Callithrix jacchus: one gene and its partners. The protein of the gene in region 1 interacts with the protein of each later gene in a pairwise test. Links are inferred from orthologs where the notes say so. Each region holds a gene or a part of one and is shown in the gene's direction. Other genes may lie near its edges. The genes, in order: DDI1, KLHL42 and CYGB.

Region 1 (8,255 bases):
TGATAGGGACTTACGGTATAACAACAGTTTATGTTTAGGGATACATATATATTTCTACATATATGTTTATATTTCTATACCTATATGTATATTCCTAAACATAAACTGTTGGAGTTTATGTTTATATATATATATATATATATTTATGCTTATATATATATATATCCAATGATCTCCAAGTTCATTGTACAATCAGAAGAGGTTTTCATTTAAAATTTGAGTTGATAGATTTATACATATGGTATTTGATTAACAAACCATCAATCGTGCTGGGTAAAATGAAAGAATCAAATAATGTATACACAGAAGTACTAAACACAGGAAACTGTTTAGCTGTACAGATTCCAGGGATTTTTGCAACAGAGATTTAAGACCTGGATGGGTGTTGGACTATGGAATCCAAAGGATCCCTGGCAACCTTGACATCCTGTGGCCTATGGAATGATGACAGCTCATTGGCCAGACCTTGAGGCTTTTTTTCTTTTCAGTGTCTGTTCTCAGTAAAAGGTAAAATGCTGAAAACCACACAAATATAAAATGATACCCAAAGTAAAGAATTACAGGGAAATAATAAAACATATCACATGGAATTCACATATGTTCAGTATCAAGGCAATGGTATAGAAAAAAGATGTTAGTTTCTTTTCATGTAAACTCACAATTTTTGTTTTATAAGAAATAAAAGGAAGCTTATTCTACAAAAAAAATTTCATTTGCTCTTAAAAAATAAACAAAAGCCCCAGTATAATCCCCCTCGCTTATGGTTTGAAGAACAAATTGTACAAAGCTATTTGGGGAAAACAGATAAAGGAACACTGACTTAAAGTCTCACTGGTTTCTCAATCTGTTCTTTAGCAGAGTAGTTTGCATGTGACATCTCACATGATAATTGTTTCCAAACGCAGGAGAAACCACAAGTAATCTCTGATAAACTTGTCAGTGTGCAAAGAACCATAACATCATATTTTTGAGTCAAAGGGCCATTCATCTGTATAAATGGTGAAAATTACAATGCTAGATTTTTTTCTTAAAATTAAAAGAAATCCTCATATCATGAAACACTGTCTTTCCAGTTAAAGGCTCTAAGTCAGGTCATCTTCCTTCCCAGCCTTTGTTTCTCCACTCTGGCCCAGTTCTTTCAGGAAGTCTTCTCTGCCCCCAACCCCTCACCTTCTTCATCTTCTCTCCAGATATTACTCATTTCTCCTAAGCTATCACAGCTCCTACTGTGATCCTATTTTACCCTTCAGTTTGTGTGTGTGCACATGTTCTAATTTAGACTGTGAGCCTGTATTTAACATTAGTCACGTTTGTTTCTTGAGAACTTAGCACACTCTTCACATACACTGGGCATTCAGTCAACCTTTCTCATATAAGCAAATATGAGTATGGAAACATAATAATTAGAGCAATGAGAGACATAGTCTTCCATCTGAGACAAACACATGAGAAACAGGAGCCAAAAAAAAATGTTTTAGGCTGATGTGACACCCTTCTCCCCACAATGGTATAACAGTGTCATGGTGCAGGCTTTCTAATGACACTTTAAAGAAGGAGGGGAAACTAGGCAGAGGATAGCAACTATCTTGGCTCATAAGTAGGTATACCTGGGAGGATCAAGCCAGGGAAACATGAGCCCTGTACAGTGCTAAATACTTTATTCAACATTAAACATGGAGAAAAATAACTAGCACGCAAGGATTTCTACCCTATCATCATTTGCCTTGAAGGATTTTCGCCCTTACTATGACAGCCTCCACTCTGTGTGTGTGTGTGTGTGTGTGTGTGTGTGGTGTGTAGAAAGCGGCCATGTCCAAGTGTCAGAGGCATATTGGCCTCCGAGGTGGCATCCTTAATGCATTTTCCTACAGAACTGATGTCAAATGGGTCGCCTCAAAGATTTATCTCACTCACTCGTTTATTCCCTTGAAGACAACGGCCTGTCTACCCAGTCTCCCATTTTAGAGACCCTCTGTGTTATCCACACACTCCACTGCTTTTACACGCCTCACCTCCAAGGGGTATGCGCATTCTATCAGTTTTACTCAAAAAACCTGTTTCTTCCCTATTGCTTTGGCTTTTGTCCTCCTGAGGTTTCCACACTCTAGCAACAGCTCCCGCTCTGAACCACCAGAAAGGCCTCCCAACTGGCCCTCCTGCCAGAGGGACACATTTTGTCCCCTATGCGTTGCAAGAAGCCTCTTCCCTAAGTCAATTAAAAAAAAAGCATGAACACCTGCTTCAAATCTTTCCCTTTCCTTCCTTTTCATTTTCTTTCTTTTTTTTTTTTTTTTGGAGGGAGAATTCTTGCTACTTGATAATATTTAATATTTAAACTCCTTGAATTCACATGACTTCATAAGTTGGCTCCAACTATTTTTTTCCAGCTTCATATCCTGCTATTCAAAGTTATGTACAATTTTTTATTGCATAAAACGTCTCCTCTTTCTCTAGAAATAGCAGGCCTTGCCATAAATTCCTGCTTTTGTAACATGAACTGCTTCCCTCTGGAAAGAGACCACTTTTCACCTGGAAGATGCTCATCCTTCAACATCCAGCTTGTCTCCTCCTTAGGAAACATTCTCTGTTTGATACTAAAGGCAGTACCCTGAACATGTGATTACCCATTCACCCATCTAGCCCTTTCCAGAATGTGAGCTCCTCGAGGGCAGGCTTCAAGTCTGACTTTTGTATTATAGACACAGAATGATACTTACCATGTAGGAAACAGACACTATTTGGGGTCGTGGGTGGGGAACACACAAGTACAAAGAATATAACTCTAAAGCAAAACAAATGGTAATATGCTGTTTAGAAAGTGTTGAAACCAGGCACGGTGGCTCACACCTGTAATCCCAGCACTTTGGGAGGCAGAAGTGTGTGGATGGCTTGAGCCCAGGAGTTGGAGGCCAGCCTGGGCAGCATAGGGAGATCCCTCCCATCTCTATAAAAGAAATACAAAAAATAGCTAGGCATGGTAGACTATGGCTGTAGTTTCAGCTTTTCAGGAGGCTGAGAGAGGAGGACTGCTTGAGTCCATGAGGTCGAGGCTGCAGTGAGCTGTGACCTTGCCACTGAGCTCCAGTCTGGGTGACAGAATGAGATCCTGTCTCCAAAAAACAAACAAACAAAAGGTGTTGAAATAATTTCTTTCCTATCGTGTTAAATAGGCTTTGAAGGGCTGGCCTTGAAACCCGACAGCTTTGAGTCATTGCGTTTCCATGGAAATAGGCATTCTAGGTTCCAGACAGGGCACTTACAAATGGACTTTGGAATACAACATGCTACCTCAAGGCTCCACTGGGCCACACGGCTGGCACTGAGGCTGGGAGGCAGCCCCAGGCAGATGAGCATCCGTCCCTCTGAGAGGCGAGTGACCTACTGAGTCGTGAGGAGCAGCGACGCCAACAACACAGGCCCGCCCCAGCCCCCGATGAGCGGCCCATGCCCTCTGCCCACCCGGCACGCCCAGGTCCCCGCCATGCTCATCACCGTGTACTGCGTGCGGAGGGACCTCTCGGAAGTCACCTTCTCCCTCCAGGTCAGCCCTGACTTTGAGCTCCGAAACTTCAAGGTCCTCTGCGAGGTGGAGTCCAGAGTCCCCGCCGACGAGATCCAGATCATCCACATGGAGCGACTCCTCATTGACGACCACTGTTCCCTGGGCTCCTACGGCCTCAAAGACGGCGATGTGGTGGTTTTACTGCAGAGGGACAACGTGGGACCCCGGGCCCCGAACCAGCCTCGTGTAGACTTGAGCGGCGGCATCGCAGCACCCGGGACGTCCAGCTCCCGCCCGCAGCACCCAGGACAGCAGCGGCAGCAGCGCGCACCCTCTGCCCAGCGGGCGCACGGCCGGGCCTTGGGGGAGGAGGCGGCCGGCCCGCAAGGCCTGGGCAGCCCAGCCCTGATCCGCAGCACGCTGCTCTCCAACCGGCACCATCTGTCCCTGCTCGAGGAACGCAACCCCAGCCTGGCGGAGGCCCTGCTCAGCGGAAGCCTTGACACCTTTGCTCAGGTGCTGATGGAGCAGCGAAGGGAATGGGCCTCGAGAGAGCGGGAGAGGCTTCGTCTCTACACGGCCGACCCCCTGGATCTGGAAGCTCAGGCCAAAATAGAAGAGGAGATCCGGCAGAGGAACGTGGAAGAAAACATGAATATAGCGATGGAAGAGGCGCCCGAGACTTTCGGACAAGTGACGATGCTCTACATTAACTGCAGAGTGAACGGGCGTCCTTTGAAGGCGTTTGTTGACTCGGGCGCCCAGATGACCATCATGAGCCAGGCTTGTGCCGAGCGCTGTAACATCATGAGGCTGGTGGACCGACGGTGGGCTGGGGTTGCTCAAGGAGTGGGCACGCAGATCATTATCGGCCGCGTTCATCTGGCTCAGATTCAAATTGAAGGTGATTTCTTACCGTGCTCTTTCTCCATACTTGCGGACCAACCCATGGATATGCTTCTAGGCCTAGATATGCTCCGAAGACATCAATGTTCCATCGATTTGAAGAAAAACGTGCTGGTCATCGGCACCACTGGCACGCAGACCTACTTCCTTCCTGAGGGAGAGTCGCCCTTACTCAGTAGGATGGTAAATGGGCAAGATGGGCCTTCTGACAAGGAAATTACACATTCGGGCAAGGATTTCGGACAAAAAGAGCACTGAAGCGCGTTATAAATATGTCACCACCTTAAGGGAGCTTCAGGTCCCTGGAAATGATACGATGGGCGCTCACCAGAAATGTGATCATTAAAAAAAAAATCAGTAACAACTAAACCTGGCCTTGGGACTACGTTCTCAGATAGGTAACTGTCAATCCTGATTCCTTGGTATTGGTCCCTCTTCCATTTCCCTTGTCCGGAGATCACTGAAAGGCATCCTGGGAAGGCTCTGGAGGCTCCAGCGGCTTTCCAGATAATCCGTGAAAAAAGAAAATCAGCTTCTTTTAGAGACATCATTCTATCAGATTACAGGTGGCTTATCCAAACCAGTTGCTATTTTGCAGAATTCCCTGGAGAAATGCCATGGCCACAGACCTTACAAGGCATCTACATAAAACTATTTCACATCAGCACTAACAATTCTTTATATGCAGGGAAATATGTCTGTTTTCATAGGTTTTGTTTTTGAGAAAGGCACTAGAATTAGTGGGTCAATTACATTCTCATGTTAACTAATACTTATAAATATGTCTGTCTGGGGCAACATAAAGGCCAATTTCCTCATGTTCACACCTTCCCTCCCCCTGGATCTCCTGCAGTCACACTGTAGTCCACAGCTAAAGGCTGTTTTTGCCATATTTGAGAAAGTGGAATTTTCTCCAAGGATGTTACATTAATTTTCTATCTCCCCTGCATTCAAAGAAACTCTGGCTGTAAAATAAAGGCAATAAATTAGATTTTCTTTTAAAGAAATCATGGTACTTCTTGGGAGTCAAGTTGCACAGTGGTGGGAGTGAGTGGTGGGGACAGGCAGTGATCTAGGTTCCCTAATACGCATTGCAATTAGATCATCTCTCTCTTCCTCCTGTTTAAAGTAAAAGTCTGCTCTAGATATTAAGCTGCTGCTACATCAATATTGTTTGAACAAAGGGCTTCACTGTTAAAATAACATTTGAAAACTTCTGAATGAGAAGATCTCTAAGGCCTCATACAGAATTGTTCACTGTGACAAAGCCACTCTTTATTACGACGGACACTGGGAAATGGAAGATCCTAGACTTAATTACAATCCATGGCTGAAACACTATTAGAAAAGTTCCAGCTTCCTGAGGCCATCAGATGGAGGGGAAATATTTCGGGGCAATAATTCATCAAGACTGGTATCACAACAGTGGATTCAAAGTCAAGAAGAGTATGCTTTGATTATGCTTAATTACTTAGACAAATTACTTCACCTACTTTACAACTCAGATTCCTCATCTATGAATCCCCCCCGGCCCCGCCCCCCGGAAGGTGTCACTTTTCAAGTACTAAAACCTCATTATGATCTAGGATGTCCTTTGAGTTATTCTATTTTCCTGACAAAACATAAAGCCACACAGCATTCCCAAAGGGTACAGAAATACGCCATCCTCCCTTATGATCCCCACATACTTCTTTTTGTTTTACTTCTTGGTCACACAAATCACACTCTTTCTAAAGAAAGTCACCTTTCCTCTCCCAGCCTCCATCAGTTCACCTCCCATTTTTCTTCTCTATAAATATTCCCATGCTCACATTTCCCAATCTTGTCTACATTTGCACAAAGTTTTACACCCAGTAGAATTGCTAAAAATGATCAAATGGACAGATTTCCTTCCTACTTTTGTTTCTAATTAAGCACTCAAGACAAATGCAATTAGCAGAAAAGACAGAGTAAAGTCAGGGATAAGCAAAATGCTTATGAATAAATGTAAATTGACCTGACAAATTCATGAAATCTCTCAAAGATAAAGCTATGCAAAATCCGCACCATCTTCTGGACTCAATTTTAAGCTTTATTTATGCAAAAAAAAAAAATCTTATTTGCATATATCACATGGGACTCCTCAGGGTATCTGACCCAAAAAAGTCAGCCACAGAACCTTTAAGGTAAAAGACAGTTTACGGCCAGGCGCGGTGGCTCACACCTGTAATCCCAGCACTTTGGGAGGCCGAGATGGGTGGATCACGAAGTCAAGAGATCGAGACCATCCTGGTCAACATGGTGAAACCCCATCTCTACTAAAAATACAAAAATTAGCTGGGCATGGTGGCACGTGCCTGTAATCCCAGCTACTCGGGAGGCTGAGGCAGGAGAATTGCCTGAACCCAGGAGGCGGAGGTTGCGGTGAGCCGAGATCGCGCCATTGCACTCCTGCCTGGGTAAGGAGCGAAAGTCCGTCTCAAAAAAAAAAAAAAAAAAAAGACAGTTTACATGATATCAAATCTGACCATACCCACCCTACCTTCTCAGAGAAATACCTTTTCTGAATTATAGTTATAAGGTTTTGAGACAAATCTCAGGTAAAATTATTTGCTTCTTATTTTGAACTGAAATCTGTTGTCCTATCACTTCCAATAAGCTGGTCTTCATTCTTCCTTCTCCCAAGACCACATTTAATCTTTCTGGCATGAGACCAACTTTTTACTGTATGAAATCAGTATCAGCCCACATATCCATTTTTAGGCTTTAGTAGGTTTTCAACAGATTTTTAACTATTCCTCATAGGACATATTAGTATTCTCTTAAAAATGTCATGTTTATTTGGCCATATTCCAAATCCTAAAAATATTATTTGAGTTAATGAATGAATAAATTAAAAACATTTATACTGAATTGAAAAGCAATGACCTCAAAGAAAAATCATTAAATAAAATGAATTAATTAAGCAATGCCCTTATTGATTAACTTTTAAAAGTCATTGACTTTCAAATTGAAAAGTGTTTTAAAAATTAATTAAAGTCTTAATATAATCCTGTGTATACATAAAAGGTTCGCGATCAATTAAATTTTACATGGATTAGTTTTGGGAAAGGCTACATCTTTTGCTTGTCTTCTACAGGAATCAGGCACCATGCAGGTACTTTGCATATGGTTCCCTTTAATCCTCAGGGTAAACCTTGAAAATCACTATTTTTCAGCCCATTTTGTGGATAAGGAATTTGAGGCTCAGAATTCTTAGAAACATTCAAATAGTCAAAGATCAGTAATTAAAAAAATTTTTGACAACAACCTACATTTTACATTGTAACTCAATTTTACACACTACACACCCAAACACACATGAAGTATTTCTATCTCTATGTATATCTCTATATAACAAACAAAAAGGATTCTTGAAATGAATGCTATGTTTTATCATTTCTTAGTCTTATTTCTTTTTAAAATTATATTTTATGTATCCCACCAAAATATTCTGATCCACAATTTACAAAACATTGACTTACTTACCAAATTGCCTTATTCAAAGCTTTCTGACTTCAAATACCAAGCTCCTTTGTAACGTCCTTATCTGAATCCTACGTCAAAAGCTGCAAAATTCTTAAAAAATTTCATTTTATGGAAACTACCAAAATAATGCCAGTAGAAATGACAACAAGAAGGGAGGACTCAGAATAAACACAATAACTATGTATTGAATACACACAAAATAAGTTCACAGACAGATTTTTATACATTTAGAAATGAGTAGGTTACAGTTTCAGACCTCAAGGTGATTGTTACCTTGCAGGGGTAGACGAAAGACTTGTAACCAACTAAGAACAAAAAGAATGGACATGAAATCAATAAC
Region 2 (7,646 bases), on another chromosome or scaffold:
GCCAGTTTTTCCAACACCATTTATTAAGCAGGGAATTTTTTCCCTATTTCTTGTTTTTGTCAGGTTTGTCAAAGATCAGATTGTTGTAGATGTGTTGTGTTGCCTCGAGGCCTCTGTTCTGTTCCATTGGTCTATATCTCTGTTTTGGTACCAGTACCATGCTGTTATCATTACTGTAGCCTTGTAGTATAGTTTGAAGTCTGGTAGTGTGATGCCTCCTGCTTCATTCTTTTTGCTTAGAATTAACTTGGCTATGCAGGCTCTCTTTTGGTTCCATATGAAGTTTAAGGTGGTTTTTTCCAGTTCTGTGAAGAAGGTCATTGGTAGCTTGATGGGGATAGCGTTGAATCTGTAAATTACTTTGGGCAGTATGGCCATTTTAATGATATTGATTCTTCCTAAACATAAACATGGAATGTTTCTCCATCTGTTTGTGTCCTCTCTTATTTCATTGAGCATAGCAAAACCTGGCAGAGACTCAGCAAGATAAGAAAACTTCAGGCCAATATCCATGATGAACATAGATGCAAAAATCTTCAGTAAAATACTGGCAAACCAATTGCAACAGTACATCAAAAAGCTTATCCACCATGATCAAGTAGGATTCATCCCGGGGATGCAAGGCTGGTTCAACATACGCAAGTCTGTAAACATAATTCACCACATAAACAGAACCAAAAACAAAAACCACATGATTATCTCAACTGATGCAGAGAAGGCCTCTGACAAAATTTGACAGTGCTTTGTGCTAAAAACCCTCCAATAAACTAGGTATTGATGGAATGTATCTCAAAATAATAAAAGGTATTTACGACAAACCAACAGTCAATATCGTACTGAATGGGCAAAAACTGGAAGCATTTTCTTTGAAATCTGGCACTAGACAAGGATGCCCTCTCTCATCACTCCTATTCAATATAGTATTGGAAGTTCTAGCCAGAGCAATCAGGCAAGAAAAAGAAATAAAGGGTATTCAAATAGGAAAGGAGGAAGTCAAATTGTCTCTATTTGCAGATGACATGATTGTATATCTAGAAGACCCCATTGTCTCTGCTCAAAATCTCCTGAAACTGATAAGCAACTTCAGCAAAGTCTCAGGATACAAAATCAATGTGCAAAAATCACAAGCATTTCTATACACCAGTAACAGACTTAAAGAGCCAAGTCAAGAACGAACTGCCATTCACAATTGCTACCAAGAGAATAAAATACCTAGGAATGCAACTAACAAGGAACGTAAAGGATCTCTTCAAGGAGAACTACAAACCATGGATCAAAGTATTTTTGAGGCCAGTTGTGGTATCTGGTACTATAATTTCAGCGCTTTGGGAGGCTGAAGGAAGAGGATCACTTGAGGCCAGGAGTTCAAGACCAGCTCAGACAACATAGTGAGATGCCATCTCCACAAAAAAATTTTATAAAAAATTAGCTGAGTAGACTTGAGTATGGTGGTGCATACTTGTAGTCCCAGGTACTTGAGAGACTGAGGCAAGGAGGCTCTCTTGAGCCCAGCAATTCAAGGCTGCAGTGAGCTATAACTGTGCCACTACAGTCTAGCCTGGGTAACAGAGCAAGACCGTGTTTCAGAAATAAATTAGTAAATAAATAAATACAAACTGTGAATTTGTTCAGTGCTGACCTCTCCCTATTTTGTATGTTGTGAAGCAATATGAGGCAGGGCCAGTGGTCTGCTCAGGTGTCCTGGTGGTGCAAAGATCTCCTGACCCACCCTTTAGCAGTCACCCGTCACAGCTGCCTGTCTGTCTAGGCAGCACCAGTGTGTCTAAGATGAAGCCATGCTACTCAGTAGGAAGAATGAAATAACCATTCTGAGCGGTAAAAGACAAGGGGGTGAAGTGGGTGCCTTTTTCCTCTCTTAGCCTTGTGCCTGCCCCTGAAAGAGTGTGGAATTTAGTGTATACACATTGTCTTTGGTTGCTGGACTAAGGCTGAGCAAGATTAATAACTTGTTATATTGAGCTGCTTATCTTCAGAAGCCAGTGTTTGGACAGTGTGCCATTCCTGTGGAATCTTGGGGACAGGAGTGAGATTTGAGAAGCCATCCTTTCTTCCTCTGTCCTCAGGCAGAGTGGCTTCCAGCTGGGAGAGCTAATTTTCTTCAGATGTCCAGGAGATTCTAGTAGTTCATGCGATTGTCATGCTTTTCATTGATTAGAAGAACTAACTCTGGGGCCTTTGTGTCTCTCTTTTAGGTCTAACTTCAAACTTGTGGCTGTTAATTCAAAACTCTATGCCATTGGAGGGCAGGCCGTTTCTAACGTTGAGTGTTACAACCCTGAGCAGGATGCTTGGAATTTTGTGGCACCCTTACCCAATCCTCTGGCTGAGTTCTCTGCCTGTGAGTGCAAGGGAAAAATTTATGTCATTGGAGGATACACTACCAGAGGTAAGTGAAGGGAATAAGTAGGTGGTCTGGCCATGTGTAGGTGTCGGCAGCTGGGAAGGGCAAGACGGTGTCAGAGGAAGCTCTGATGTACCCGAATGTCATTTTATGGTTTAATACTGTACACTTACACATCTGGAAGGAAGTGAGTCCCATTTGGGTGGGGTGATTGAAACAAGAGGAATCTTTTGATAACTGTGTGAGCATGAAAATCAAATGGAGAAGGGAGGGCTGTGAAAAAAACATGTTATTATTATTTTTACTTCTGAAAACCCAGTTTTTTGGTCAACTGTCTTGTGATTTGGCTGGGCCTGGTTTGTGGGGGTCACTCTCTGAGGTTGGGTAGGTCTTTGGAGAAGATTATCTGGGAACTCCCATTTTTATCTCAAACACATACCAAATCTGCCCCCATCCACCATTATGGAATTTAGTGCCAGAGCATCCTTGCAGATTAGTTCTCATTTTCTCTCTTTGTGAGCACACACACATCAGATAGAGGTTCCGGAAACCCAGCTCCAGGACACTGTTCACATATCACAGGAGGAGCAAGAACATGAATACAAGAGTTCTTTCCTGATCAGCAGTGGGAGGTGGTTGTACTATCTATTTATTTGTTTATTTATTTATTTTTTGAGACAGAGTCTCCCTCTGTCACCCAGACTGAAGTGCAATGGTGCAATCTCCACTCACTGCATTCTCTGCCTCCCAGGTTCAAGTGATCCTCCTGCCTCAGTCTCCCTAATAGCTGGGATTACAGGCACCCACCACCATGCCCAGCTGATTTTTGTGTTTTTAGTAGAGACAGGATTTCACCATATTGGCCAGGCTGGTCTGTAACTTCTGACCTCAGGTGATCCACCTGCCTCGGCTTCCCAAAGTTCTGGGATTACAGGTATGAGCCACCATGCCTGGCCTGGTTCTACTATTTATTAAAATGTACATGTGTGTTTTTCACTTTTTTGGTGGGCATTTTATAGTTAATAATTTGGAAATAAAAAATTTCTACAGCAAGTTTTTTTTTGTGGAGACGAAGTCTTACTATGTTGCCTAGGCTGGTCTTGAATTCCTGGGCTCAAGTGATTATTCTGCCTTGGCCTCTCGAAGTACTGGGATAACAGGCATGAGCTACCATGCCTTGCTAACCAGCAAGTTTTATACTGCTGTTCTTGGTAGGGAATTGTCTCAGGTAACAGTGATACAGAACAATGTGGTTGTTGGCGGGACACAGTGGCTCACACCTGTAATCTAACACTTTGGGAGGCTGAGGCAGGAGGATTGCTTGAGGCCGAGAGTTCAAGACAGGCCTGAACAACATAGCAAGACTCCTTCTCCAAAAATGAAAAGAAAAAAAATAGCTGGATGTGGTGGCATGTACCTGTAATCCCAGTTACTTGGGAGGCTGAGGCAGGAGGCTTGAGGACAAGAGTTCAAGACAGGCCTGGGCAACATAGCAAGACCCCTTCTCTAAAAATGAAAAGAAGAAAATTATCTGGATGTTGTGGCATCTACCTGTAGTCCCAGGCCCAAAGATCCTTTTTTTGAGTAAAATCACCATTCACAGGTTCTGGGGATCAGGAAATTGACATATCTTGTTAGGGACCACCATGCAACCCACTGAAGCGATGTGTATATTTATGTATTTAAGGAGAGGCAAGACAAAGAGAAGTGCATTGGAAGCAATGACCTTCCCCACCCCGCCACTCCAAGTTTCAGTCATTTGTCAAGCTATTCCCAATGTCTCTCCCTGGTGACTCTCCACTGAAGATAGTTTTCAACTTTTTCTTTAAATATAATTGGGAAAAAAAAGAGACTTAGTAGTCATTTCTTTGACCTTCAATATTGGTTGTCAGGTTACAGAGATTAACTTTATAGGTTTAGACTAAGCCATGGGCCCTTCAGCCCGCCAGAACTCCTGTGTTTGTATAATAATCCTCTCTCTCTCTCTCCCCCCTTTCTCTCTCTCTCTCTCCCCCCTTTCTCTCTCTCTCTCTCCCCCCTTTCTCTCTCTCTCTCTCTCTCTCTCGCGCGCGCACGCGCATGTGTGTGTGTGTGTGTGTGTGTCTTTTCTTCTAGGAAAGTAAATACAGTTATTTACCTATGAGCAATTCTAAGAATTCTGATTCCTCTCTAGATTGAGTAACACAGATTGCATCTCGTGGACTGACATAATGCACATGTGCTTTGACTTCTCTTCTGAACAAGAGCTGTTCAACACTGACAGGCAGCACTGTAACCCAAAGAGTACCTTACTGGTAGACTCCTAGTTTTTCCATGACCCTGGCTGAGCAAATGTCCTTTAGATTTGACCTAGAAAACCCTTTTTGTGTGTTTTGTAGCTTCACAAGCCACTGCTAATGTACCTTCTTCACTTGGGCCACCCACTGTGATTTCTGTCCTGGATTCCCTGAGCCAAATACCCATGATGGGATGGTTCAGTGATGTGGATGGATGGCTATTTGTGTATGGGCTGAAACTAGTTTTCTAAGATGGGAGAGCTGGGCAGTTACTTACATGCTGAAGCCCTCCTTCTTCTTTGGTGGCGCTTTCCAAGCACTGCCTAATAGTTCCCTGTATTTAAGATAAGTCATGATTGTTAGGAAAAAAAGAAAAAAAAGTTAATTTTGAGACTCCTGAATTCTTAAGTCAAGTAAGACTCTTAAAATATAGCAAATAATAGCTCATGATTTTTATGATGGCTGTTTGATTATTTTAATTCCTTGGCAGCACTGAAGAAATTCAAAGAAGTTCAGTAGTGAGTAATAGCTATAAAGGGAAGAAGGGTGATTTGTTAAACTTCAGAATCAACTTTAAATGTAAAAACAAAAAGATCATTCCTCCAACTCAAACCACCTCATCATGGTCTGAGCCCTTGTTGAGTGAGGAGAGAAAACATTTACAGAACACCTGGAAAGACCTTCAGGCCTGGAGCTGTGAAATACGTGGAAGCCTCACTAGAATGAGTTCTTTATTCATTTGGTGGACAGCCAGGTTACTAAGGAGCACTTTTTAATAAATTATTGACCAAAATCCCCTTGGGCCATCTCCTAAAATGATCTTTATCATAATAGCTATAGTAAAAAGAAATATGGAGAGGTATTAATACGGCTGGAAATCAGGACAGTTTCCAAACACTGTGACTTACACTTCTGAGATTTCTGCAGGCATCAGGACATCTGCATGTACAGGACTTTGCTGTCTTAGGAGGTACCTTAGTTTGTATCAGATGTGGCTTTGGAGGGTGCTCTTTAAGCACTGCTAATTATGGGTGGGTTCTTTTCAGAAGGAAGAACTGAAAGAGGTATGAAACTTCTGAGAAAATGAGCTGTCTTCTCTTACCAGCATCTGCAGCCATCAAAATGTTGTAGGCTTTAGTTGTCTGCCAGTGCCCAAGCTGAGCTGTCTCCTTCATGGTTAGGATTTATTGTTTAGAAAAAACAGCAACATTCTGTTTATAACTCAGAGCATTTGTGTTTTCTGCTGAAGCTAAAATACTCATTTATTCTTTCCTAGAGGAGAAAAGAAAAAGAGAACAATTAAAAACAAGAAAAGCAAAATTAGATATTCTAAATTTCTTAAGCATTTTTCACAAAGAGACTAGGCAATTTTTTTCCTTAAAGAAAATCACCTTTTTTTTTTTTTTTTTTTTGAGACACCAGGATCCCTGTCACCCTGGCTGGAATGCAGTGATGTGATCACAGCTCACTGCAGCCTCACCCGCCCAGGCTAAATAAAGCCATCCTCCCACCTCAGCCTTCTAAGTAGCAGCTGGGAACATAGGTGCATACCACCATGCCTGGCTAGTTTTTTATTTTTTTTGTAGGCGGGGGGGGGGCGGTCTCACCATGTTGCTCAGGCTGGTCTTGAACTCTTGAACTCCTGGGCTCAAGCAGTCCTCTTGCTTCAGCCCCCTAAAATGGTGAAGTCCTGAGACACCATGCCTGGCCAAAAATCATTATTAATTAAAAATGCCAGAGAAGCCTTTTATCTAGACTTTGATGTTTTCTACACTGCAACTATCTCTTGGGAAATGGGAAAAGGGAGAGGGAGGACCTTTGTTATTGTCTCTCTGGTGATATAATTGGGAAACTAAGGCTGGGCATGGTAAAGACCCAGTCTTTACAAATAAAAACAAATTGGAAAACCGAATTGCCAAGTGATTCTGTGGCTTGGTAGAAGGCTGCAGGTGAGACTGCTGCGTTCCTCCTGACTTGTAACGTTGTGTCCTTTTCACTAGACAGCCTCTGGAGAGCCTATGTTGCTACTTGTCATGTTTCTTAGGATCAGCTGTCAAGGACAGATGTAGTTGCTGATCAGCCTGGCTTCTGTATTAAGTAGTCGGTAATTTTGTAGCTATTGATGAGAGTTCTGAGGCACTTAGTTTTTTTGCCCTGACCTGGTGGTTCAAAGGTGTGGGGGCGGGTACCAGGGAGGAGGGGCTGTGTGAAAGTCAGAGCTGCTCTTTTCCCTGGTTTTATCCAGTCTGAGTCTCCCAAGGAGATATTTGGGAGGAGGAGGCGAGTGTGGCTGGATCTAAATATATCTCTTCCCAGCCATTTTGAAAACTGTTTTACCAACTTGTGCTTTTTCCGAAACAGTTTTTTCTCTTTGTTACCAAATTATGCAGGTAGAGGTAGACATTTCTGGGCAGCCTCGCCTAATGGTGTTAGTGGGGGCGGTGTCATCACTTATCTTTCTTTCTTTCAGACCGGAACATGAACATTTTGCAGTACTGCCCCTCTTCTGACATCTGGACCCTCTTTGAAACTTGTGACGTCCACATTCGCAAGCAGCAGATGGTGTCTGTGGAGGAGACCATCTATATCGTGGGGGGGTGTCTCCACGAGCTGGGGCCCAACCGCAGGAGCAGCCAGAGTGAGGACATGCTCACCGTGCAGTCCTACAACACCGTCACCCGGCAGTGGCTCTACCTCAAGGAGAACACGTCCAAATCGGGTCTTAACTTGACTTGTGCACTCCATAACGATGGCATCTACATCATGAGCAGAGACGTCACCCTGTCGACCAGCTTGGAACACCGAGTGTTCCTCAAGTACAACATCTTTTCAGATAGTTGGGAAGCATTTCGGCGTTTTCCAGCTTTTGGACATAACTTGCTGGTGTCTTCTCTTTATCTGCCCAATAAAGCAGAAACATGACTGAATTGAATTCGTAGATGAAAGAAACTGGTTCAAGATTTTTTTTAAAAACGTAGTGTCCCATTGCAAGGGAGACTGATTCCTAA
Region 3 (8,287 bases), on another chromosome or scaffold:
CTCGGTTGCCATTGTCACATATCAAAGGGACTCATTGCTGGCAAGTCCCCACTCAGAGACATGGATGGTCACAGGACCCCGCCACCTGCATCCACCCTGTGTGGAGACACCCTCCTGCCAGCAGGCCCTGACCCAAGGATATAATAGGATATTTTTTACTCTTTGTTTCACTGGGAGCAAAAAAGTCCTTCTTCAGACGGGTCTCCCATGCTAGGTGAGTCCATAGGCACAAAAGGAACCCCTCGTGCACGGGAACTTAATAAAGATTTGCTGGTGTATCCCTGTATTTCGTTGGGATAGGCGCCCCTGTCATCGAACGACAGTGGTCACCCACGGAAGGAAAAGTCTGGAAGTTCCCCCAACTTCACCCCCTAAAGACCACATGGCTTCAGCCTAGGGAAGAGTTAACTTTCTGGCCACTGGAGACAGCGTCCTGCCCGCAGGGGCTGCCCAGCCAATGGCACTCAATGCTGATGATGTCATGCTCCTCCCGCGCCTTCTATTGGGGACTGGACAGCGAATCCTGCAGGAGGCTGGGGCTGCGAAGCCGAGGCGGGGCGGGGGCAGAGGAGGAGGAGGGGGAAGGGCAAGGAAAGGCGAGCAAAGCCGCGCACAGCTCCTCCTGCCTCATCCCTGCCTCCACTCCCCTGCGCCTCCCGACAGAAGGTGCCCCGGGGGACCGCTCCGTACTGGAGATGAGAGGCACAGCAGCTTTGGTCCAGAGGAGCGGCTGGGGGCTCCCATTCCCAACTGCAGAAAACAAGACATCCGGCCTGCCCACCAGGCGGACGGGGAGCTGGGTGCCTAGGGCAAGCGCCGGGAGACGGTGCAGCACAGGCGCACACACAGGCACACACGTGCACCCCCAACCAGGCACAGCCACAGCATCCTTGGCAGCACCCTCCCTCTCCCAGCCCAGATTCCAGCCTTACCTGCCAGAGGCCTGAGGGTCTGAGTCCACGCTGCTGGCCCTAACTGCCCCATCCACGTCGCTGGGCTCTCTGTGGGAGGCAAGAGTAGGCAGGAAGAACTATGGCCGTGCCCGGCCCCTCCACAGGTCCCAGCCGCATTGGGCTATGGCACTGGAGGCTGCAACTAGAGCTTTTGACGCTCTAAGTGTCCCCTGCTCTGAGACTGAGCTCTCAAGGGTTCCTTGAAAATGCCCTCCCAGCTCCCCTGAAGGTCCAGGCTTAGTGGCAGCCCAGCCCCATGGGTCCTCCCCCACCAACCCCCAGCCATAGCCCAGTCAGTTTCTCACGGTTGGACTCTGTTGGCAAATCGGCGGCGCCAGAGCATGGCCAGGGTGCTGAGCAGGAAAAGTGTGGTGCACATGGCGCAGCTGCCCCATCCCCTCCCAGACCAAGTCCACAGAAGGCCACAGGCGAGGAGCCAAAATGGCCCCGGCCAGCTCTCAGGAGCCACTGCGGTCTGTCCTGCGGTTCCTGCTGGGGATGGATTAGGAGGCTCAAGCTGATTAGTGGGTCAGCGGCCTTGACCTTGGGAGGACTGATTAAGCTCGCTGGGCCCCGGTTCTCCCCTCCAGCGGTAGGATCAAGGTGTGTACTGTGGCATTGGGCACATATTCGGAATGTCCATCTCTGAGACCAGGCCTTGCTTACAAGGAGCTGCCAGTCTAGACGAATGTGCTGTCAAGTACAATGACTGCAGGAGAGTGACCCGGGAGTGATTCAAGGCGCCTCCAGGGCACTTTCAGAGTTGCAGGCATCAGGGCAAGGTTCAGAGAGGGGCGAGGGCATCTGAATTTGCAGCGCAAGGAGGATGAGCCCTCAGACAGAAGACGCTGCGAGGCTACTGACATGAAATCATGGAGCATCTGCGGGGAACTGCAAGGTGAGCAGAGGTGAAGCAATGATGTCACCGCAGAAAGATCAGGAGAGGAGGAAGAAAGGGGAAGAATATTCAATAACGAAGCCAGAGAGACAGGGGAGACTCGACAGTGAAGGGCTGGCACAGTTTACCCTCTGGACAATCCTCTCCAAACTTTACTGATTACACACCCTCTTCAGTAAAAGGCAGAATTCAAGTGCGCACTCACAAAATAGATAGGTGCACCCACCTACAAATTATATGCTAGATGACGATGCAGATACATCCCTACACCATAAGGCTGCACTGAATTTGCAAAGGATGAGATGAAAAGAAATAGCGGTTTTCTCCTACTTTCCACATTCCAAGGGGACCTGTTGGGCAGCCACTTGGTCCCAGCAACTTTGAGAAACTGTTCAGTGTGTGTGGAGCGTAGAACCAGCCATGACCACGCTGAGACGTGGGTCTGGGAGTAATGAGAGAACCTGAACCCACCCACTCCTCTCCACCCCTCCAAAACCTCCAGGAGGCGTTAGATTTTCCTTCACTCAACAAGGGGGAGGCAGTGTCAGATGCACTGCCCCAGGGTCCCCCAGGCACCGGAGCCCTGAGCTCCCAGGAAGGGCCCAGCCTGCAGCTGAGGCTTGCCTGGGCGAGTTCTCCCTGCCTCCCCAGGACCTTACAGTCGAATTTTAAGAATAAATACATGAACCATAGCAGAAGCCCAGAGCCAACCCTTGGCAATGCTTGGGCAATGGGACACCAAGTCTTGAGCAAGGACAGGGTCACGGGGAGCCTGAGTGACTTCTCTTCCTGACACTGCCAGGAACTGTCTGGCCTCAGGCTGTTCCCAGGACCCAGCAGCCGCTGAAGGGCGGGCACCATGGAACTCTCCCCCTACCTCTGGCCCAACGCACACTGCTCTGGACAGGGTCCACCAGGAGGAAGGATTTGTCTCCCCCAGCCCGGAATCAAGCCCTTGGTGGCAGCTGAGATGTCCCCAGCGGCTTGTGCCTTCCTCAGGACTTCTTGACCGGCAAGTCCTCTCTGCCCTATCCGGTGCCTCTCCGGACTTTTCTCCGACACCAGCTGGGCCAGAATTCAGGGCAGCGCCTAGTTCTTGCCTGTCCTTGTCATTGGTAAGCCACGGGGGACTTCTCGACGCCCCCGCCGCCACGCGCGTGCACCGAGGGCAACGGGGGTGCTGGGCGGAAGGAAAGGGGTCGCAGGCCTCGGGCGCCCGCGATCGGAGGTGCGCTCAAGTTCCGACAGCCAGGGCGGTGGGCGGGCGGGGGGACGATCCCAGTCTAATCCCCCCACCCCAAGAGCCGTGGCGCCGCGGCCACCAGCGCCTGGCTCCGGGGAGAGGCCGGGGCTCCGGGAGCCCAGCGCGGTCCAGGGGACCCCACGGAAGGGCTAGCGGGCAGCCTCACAGCGAAAGCTCGGGAGTGTTGGACTTTGAGTCAGTTCCCCGCCGCTGGAAGGGTCTGCACGCGCACACCCGGGATGCCGCACGCTTTGGGAGCCGGGACCAAGCGCTACCGGCCCGCGCCCGCCTCGGCGCACTCCTGTGCGGCCCGCGCCACCCTATGACGCGTGACCGCCCATTCCTCCCGGGACCCCCATTGCCCCGGCCACACCTACCCCAGCCCCGCCCCGCAGTGCAACTCCGCGGTGGCCTGCGGGTGGGCGGGCGGCAGTCGCGTCGCCCCCACCCGGAGCAGCTTTTCACCTTGCCGGCATTGGCTCACCCACACGGGGCCCGGGGTTTGGAGCGGATTTGTTTTTTTAAACATTTTCCAGCAGACCACATCCCCGCCCCCCGCTGGCTGTCCCCCGCCCCCCGCACATATACCCTGCACACACGCACGCACACACACACACACACACACCCGGCGCGCACAGACACACGCTTCCTCCCTCCGCGCTCTACCCCTCGCCCGCCCGCCGCGCACGCAGCCGGCCCCGGCTCCCCGCTCCCCGCGCCCCGCGCCCCGCGCCCAGCGCTCGGCGCCCCGCGCCCCGCCACCGCCGCCGCCGCCGCCGCCGAGCAAAGCCAGGCTGGGCTTGGAGCTCCTCATGGAGAAAGTGGCAGGGGAGATGGAGATCGAGCGCAGGGAGCGGAGCGAGGAGCTGTCCGAGGCGGAGAGGAAGGCGGTGCAGGCTACGTGGGCCCGGCTCTATGCCCACTGCGAGGACGTGGGGGTGGCCATCCTGGTGAGGTAGGTGTCGCCCGGCCCGGCCGGGCCCTGGGCAGGGAGGGCGGCAGCGGCTCCGGGCAGAGGCGGGCTGGGCCAGGGTCCGAGCTCCGGCGCCACCTCCCCAGCCGTGACTGGGGCCGGTGCGAGGTCGGCGGGGCGGGCAGCGTGGGGCGCCTTGGGGTGAACGAAGCCTGGGCTGAGCTTTCCCTGGCTCTGGCGTGGAGCTCACCAGGAACTAGGAACAAGATGCTGGAGGGCACCTCGGTCCCCCTCCTTTTCCCGGCCTGAGAACTCCTCCCTCGGCCAGAGACCCCAGACACCCAGCCAAGCTGTCAGACACACACATTTTTCTGGCCTTTGAAAGGGAGTAGCAGGGGCTCCCCATTTTAGAGATGGGTAAACCGAGGCTCAGTCAAGAAAGGGGACAAAGAGGAGCAGACCCTTGTCTCAAGCTCAGCTGCTCACTGGATTCAAAGCCTCTTGGAAGAACAGGGAGCAAAGAGCAGAGGTTGAGAAGGAAGAGAGCTGGGGTCCAGTGTTCCCAGCTGCCCTCTTCCTGCTGGAGGTGCAGGTCAGCAGGATCTCCTGGCGCAGACACAGGTGTGGAGAAGCAAACAGTGCGGGAGCATACAGTCCCTGCTGAGTCTGAGGGTGACTGGAGAAGAGAGAAGCCTAACCCTGTCAGGAGACAGGGCCTAACCCTAAAACCCCCCACCTAGGGAGGAAATGCAGTGGCTTGGGCTTAGGGGGTCATTCAGGCACCACACGTCCCTAAGAGAGCCACACACACAGAGCGTCCCATTCATACACCTGCCCAGAGCGTGCACACACCATTCTCATTAACGTGATGTGTCCAAGCCTCGAAAGCTAGTAACTGACTCGAGCTACAAATCCATGCTCTCTTCCCACATGTGCTGGCCCCTGGGGGTGCAGGCAGAGAGGTTCCAGACCAGCTCACTCTCAATCCCCTGTTCTTGGCAGAGGAAAGGGTCAAATCTAGGACAGAGCAGGACAGCCTTGTCATGGGAAGACGGGTGAAGCCTCGCTCTGCAAGGATAGCTTTAGTGCCTCCCCGACTCCCAGGCCTCTCCGTCTCCAGCTTCTCTCTCTCAAGCCTGGGACCTACCCAGCTCCACCATGATATGCCCTGATTCCAACTCCGAAGCAGATTTTGGAGGAAAAAGAGCAGGAAGCACTTCTAAGGAGTTAAAGGAGCATTCCTGAGGATGGGGCAGCTATCTCAGCAGCACCCCAGGCCCAGAAACAGAGCTGGGAGCGGCCGGAAGCTAAGAGGGGCATTGGGATCCTGGAGCCTCAGACACTTGGAACCGCAGATCCCCCCACGGGCTGGCATCTACACAAGCACACAGCGGGTAGCAGAGCCAGACTGCATCCTCGGACACTGGCAGCCGGGTGCGTGTCTAGGCAAGCACATGGGTCACCAGAGGAGGCAAGCCAGGGTCCTCAGGACCTTGGAGGTTTTCTGTCCCAACCCCTGCCACGTGCCTGTGCGGATCCGTGGAGGAAGTACTCACCGTCCACATCCCGGGGCACCACTGAACCTCCCCAGGAAGGGGACCAGGGTGGGGCAGATGCCAAGGAGAAATGAAGCACTGAGGGCAGGGCCATGTCTGGACAGTCAGAGCTTTCAGCCAGGATTTCTTTTTTTCTCTCCACCCCTCTTCCAGTCTCCACTCCTGTCTCTTAGAGGGGCCTGGGCCTGGGCTGGAGGAGGTCGTTACCAATGTGCTCAATTCTGTCGGACTAGAGCCCAGCCTGTCTCAGCTCTGTCTCAGCCACTCCCTGCCAGCCCAACCCCACAGGGCCTCGCTTTCCTTCTTTCCTCCTGTCTCTGCCCAGGGCCTGGTCAGTAGGGGAGGGGAGGAGAGGGGGATAAGGGCTCCTGAAGGTCCCTCCTTAGATCCTGCGCCCATCAGTCTTGACACAGTGCTTTCTTCCCACACACAACACACACATCCTCAAGGTCAAGGCCCCAGCTGGAGCCCTCCGGCCAGCGCTCTCAACTGTGCCCTCTTCACTGCACCAGGCCAGCGCTCTCAGCCCTAGTGAGCCTGCAGGGCAGGGAGAAGGCCGCTGTACCTCCACAGCCCCAACCTGGAGAAGTTGCCACGTTGGTGGGGGTGGAGGAGGCGTTACTTTCAGAACCTGGGGCAGACCCCACACTTCCACTCCCAGCCAGGGAGGAGACCAAGAGGGAACACCCACCTTCCCGCCGGGTTGTAACTCTGACACCTTCCTCCTCACACTCAGACAGGCCTATTTCAGGCTCTCTTGGAAGCCCAGATTCCTCTGGGAGCTGAGAAACTCCCCAGGGCTGGCTGTGGAGGCTTCTCCCTGGCAGCACAGGCTGAGACTGGGCGAGTCTCAAGTGGAAACATCATGGAGCCAGGAGGCAGGAGCCACACACGTGGGCCCCACGGGCTGCAGAACCTTGGAGGGTCTGGGTGGGGGCTCCCTGAGACTGTCATTCCTCAGGGCCACAACCCAGTGGTGGGTGTTGAGGCAGGAGACACCTGGTTACCAGGCCACAGTCCCCTGGCACAGCCATCTTTTCAGGCAGTGTGGGGAAACCATCAAAGCAGGGCCCATCTGGGCCCCTTCCTGGCCCATCTACTCTATTGGGCAATCTTGGACATCTATTCCTAATTCATAAGAGGGGGATTAAAACGGTGCGTATCTCAGGAGGGAAATGCAAGTATTTGTGAGATCATACAGTAAGTGCTCAATAAATTTTCCCTGTTGTTTCCTAATCAGTAAAATAGAGGTAACACCTGCTTAGCTGTGGCAATTAAATACAATAACAGACCAGGCACCTCGGCTCACACCTGTAATCCCAGCAATTTGGAAGGCCAAGGAGGGCAGAACACCTGAGGTCAGAAGTTCAAGACCAGCCTGACCAATATGGCAAAACCCTGTATCTAAAATACAAAAATTAGCCGGGCCTGGTGGCGGGCACCTATAATCCCAGCTAATTTGGGAGGGTGAGAAAGAAGAATCACTTGAACCTGGGAGGTGGAGCTTGTAGGAAACCAAGATAGCACCACCGCACTCCAACCCGAGTAACAGAGTGAGATTCCATGAAAGAAAGAAAGAAAAAGAGAGAGAGAGAGAGAGAGAGAGGAAGGAAGGAAGGAAGGGAGAAAGAAAAGAGAGAGAGAGAAAGGGAGGAAGGAAGGGGAAAAGAGAAAAAAAGAGAGAGAGAAAAGAAAAGAAAAAGAAAGAGAAAGAAGGAGAGAGGAGGAAGGGAAGGAAGGGGTTCAATAACATACGTGGAGATACTTTGCAAATTGTAAAACACCAGGCAAATATATATCATTATTATTTTGAGTCAGGGTCTTGCTCTGTCACCCAAGCTGGAGTGCAGTGGGACGATCATGGCTCACTGCAGCCACCAATCCTGTGCTCGTGTGATCAGATCTTCCTGCTGCAGCCTCCCAAATAGCTAGGACTACAGACATGCACCGCCATACCAAGCCAATTTTTTTCTTTTTTTCTGGAGACAGGATCTCATTATGTTGCCCAGGCTGGTCACGAACTCCTGGCCTCAACGGATCTTCCTGCCTTGGCCTCTCAAAGTTCTGGGATTACAGGCATGAGCCACCACACCCAGCCTTTTATTATTATTATTACTTATTATCATTATTTCTTTTGATTTGGGATCTCACTCTGTCACCCAGGCTGAAGTGCAGGGGCATAATCTTGGCTCCCTGCAGCCTTGAGCTCCTGGGTTCAAGTGATCCTTCCACTTCAGCCTCCTGAGTAGCTAGAACCACAGGTGTGTGCCACCTCACCTGGCTAATTTTTTGTATTTGTAGAGACAGGGTTTGCCACATTGCCCAGGCTGGTCTCAAATGCCTGTGCTCAGGTGATCGCCTGCCTTGGCCTCGTAAAGTGCTAGGATTACAGGCGTGAGCCACCGTGCCCGGCCATATCATTATTTTTTATTGCAATTGTAAAACCTCCAATGTCTGAGATGCTCATTTAAGTCCAAATTGGGTTTTTCACATTGGTCCCTCATTACAGTGCTTCTCCAGAAAATTCAGTGTATCTTTAGACCGACAGCCTCACATGTCCTCACCCGTGTATCCATGAAGCAGTGATCGGGGGATCTCCTCTCACCTTTCTGCAGACAGGGAGCTTGTGAGGGGGTTTGCCTAAGGTCACAGTTGGCCTCTGAGAGGGGCCCTCCTGGGTTTCCACGCAGACTGTGCACTGGTCACTGTGCAAATTTCCCCTGC

The links.
Region 2: the proteins of DDI1 (region 1) and KLHL42 interact in binary tests that used the Homo sapiens proteins (3 or more experiments, as listed by UniProt). The two-hybrid records come from large-scale screens. The link is inferred for Callithrix jacchus from reciprocal best matches to the Homo sapiens genes DDI1 and KLHL42.
Region 3: the proteins of DDI1 (region 1) and CYGB interact in binary tests that used the Homo sapiens proteins (3 or more experiments, as listed by UniProt). The two-hybrid records come from large-scale screens. The link is inferred for Callithrix jacchus from reciprocal best matches to the Homo sapiens genes DDI1 and CYGB.

Annotation. Positions count from the first base shown.
Region 1 is NC_133511.1:4,027,718-4,035,972, forward strand, and holds DDI1 (protein DDI1 homolog 1), read left to right. Parts: upstream 1-3,315; 5' UTR 3,316-3,433; coding exon 3,434-4,666; 3' UTR 4,667-6,390; downstream 6,391-8,255. UniProt on the Homo sapiens protein: Probable aspartic protease. Seems to act as a proteasomal shuttle which links the proteasome and replication fork proteins like RTF2. Required, with DDI2, for cellular survival following replication stress.
Region 2 is NC_133510.1:43,424,697-43,432,342, reverse strand, and holds part of KLHL42 (kelch-like protein 42), read left to right. Parts: intron 1-2,213; coding exon 2,214-2,407; intron 2,408-7,108; coding exon 7,109-7,560; 3' UTR 7,561-7,646. UniProt on the Homo sapiens protein: Substrate-specific adapter of a BCR (BTB-CUL3-RBX1) E3 ubiquitin-protein ligase complex required for mitotic progression and cytokinesis. The BCR(KLHL42) E3 ubiquitin ligase complex mediates the ubiquitination and subsequent degradation of KATNA1.
Region 3 is NC_133506.1:132,425,388-132,433,674, reverse strand, and holds the start of CYGB (cytoglobin), read left to right. Parts: upstream 1-2,742; 5' UTR 2,743-3,906; coding exon 3,907-4,049; intron 4,050-5,563; coding exon of another isoform or gene 5,564-5,657; exon of another isoform or gene 5,658-5,794; intron 5,795-8,287. Other genes in the region: photoreceptor disk component PRCD, read right to left, coding at 933-1,001, 5,564-5,657. UniProt on the Homo sapiens protein: Probable multifunctional globin with a hexacoordinated heme iron required for the catalysis of various reactions depending on redox condition of the cell as well as oxygen availability.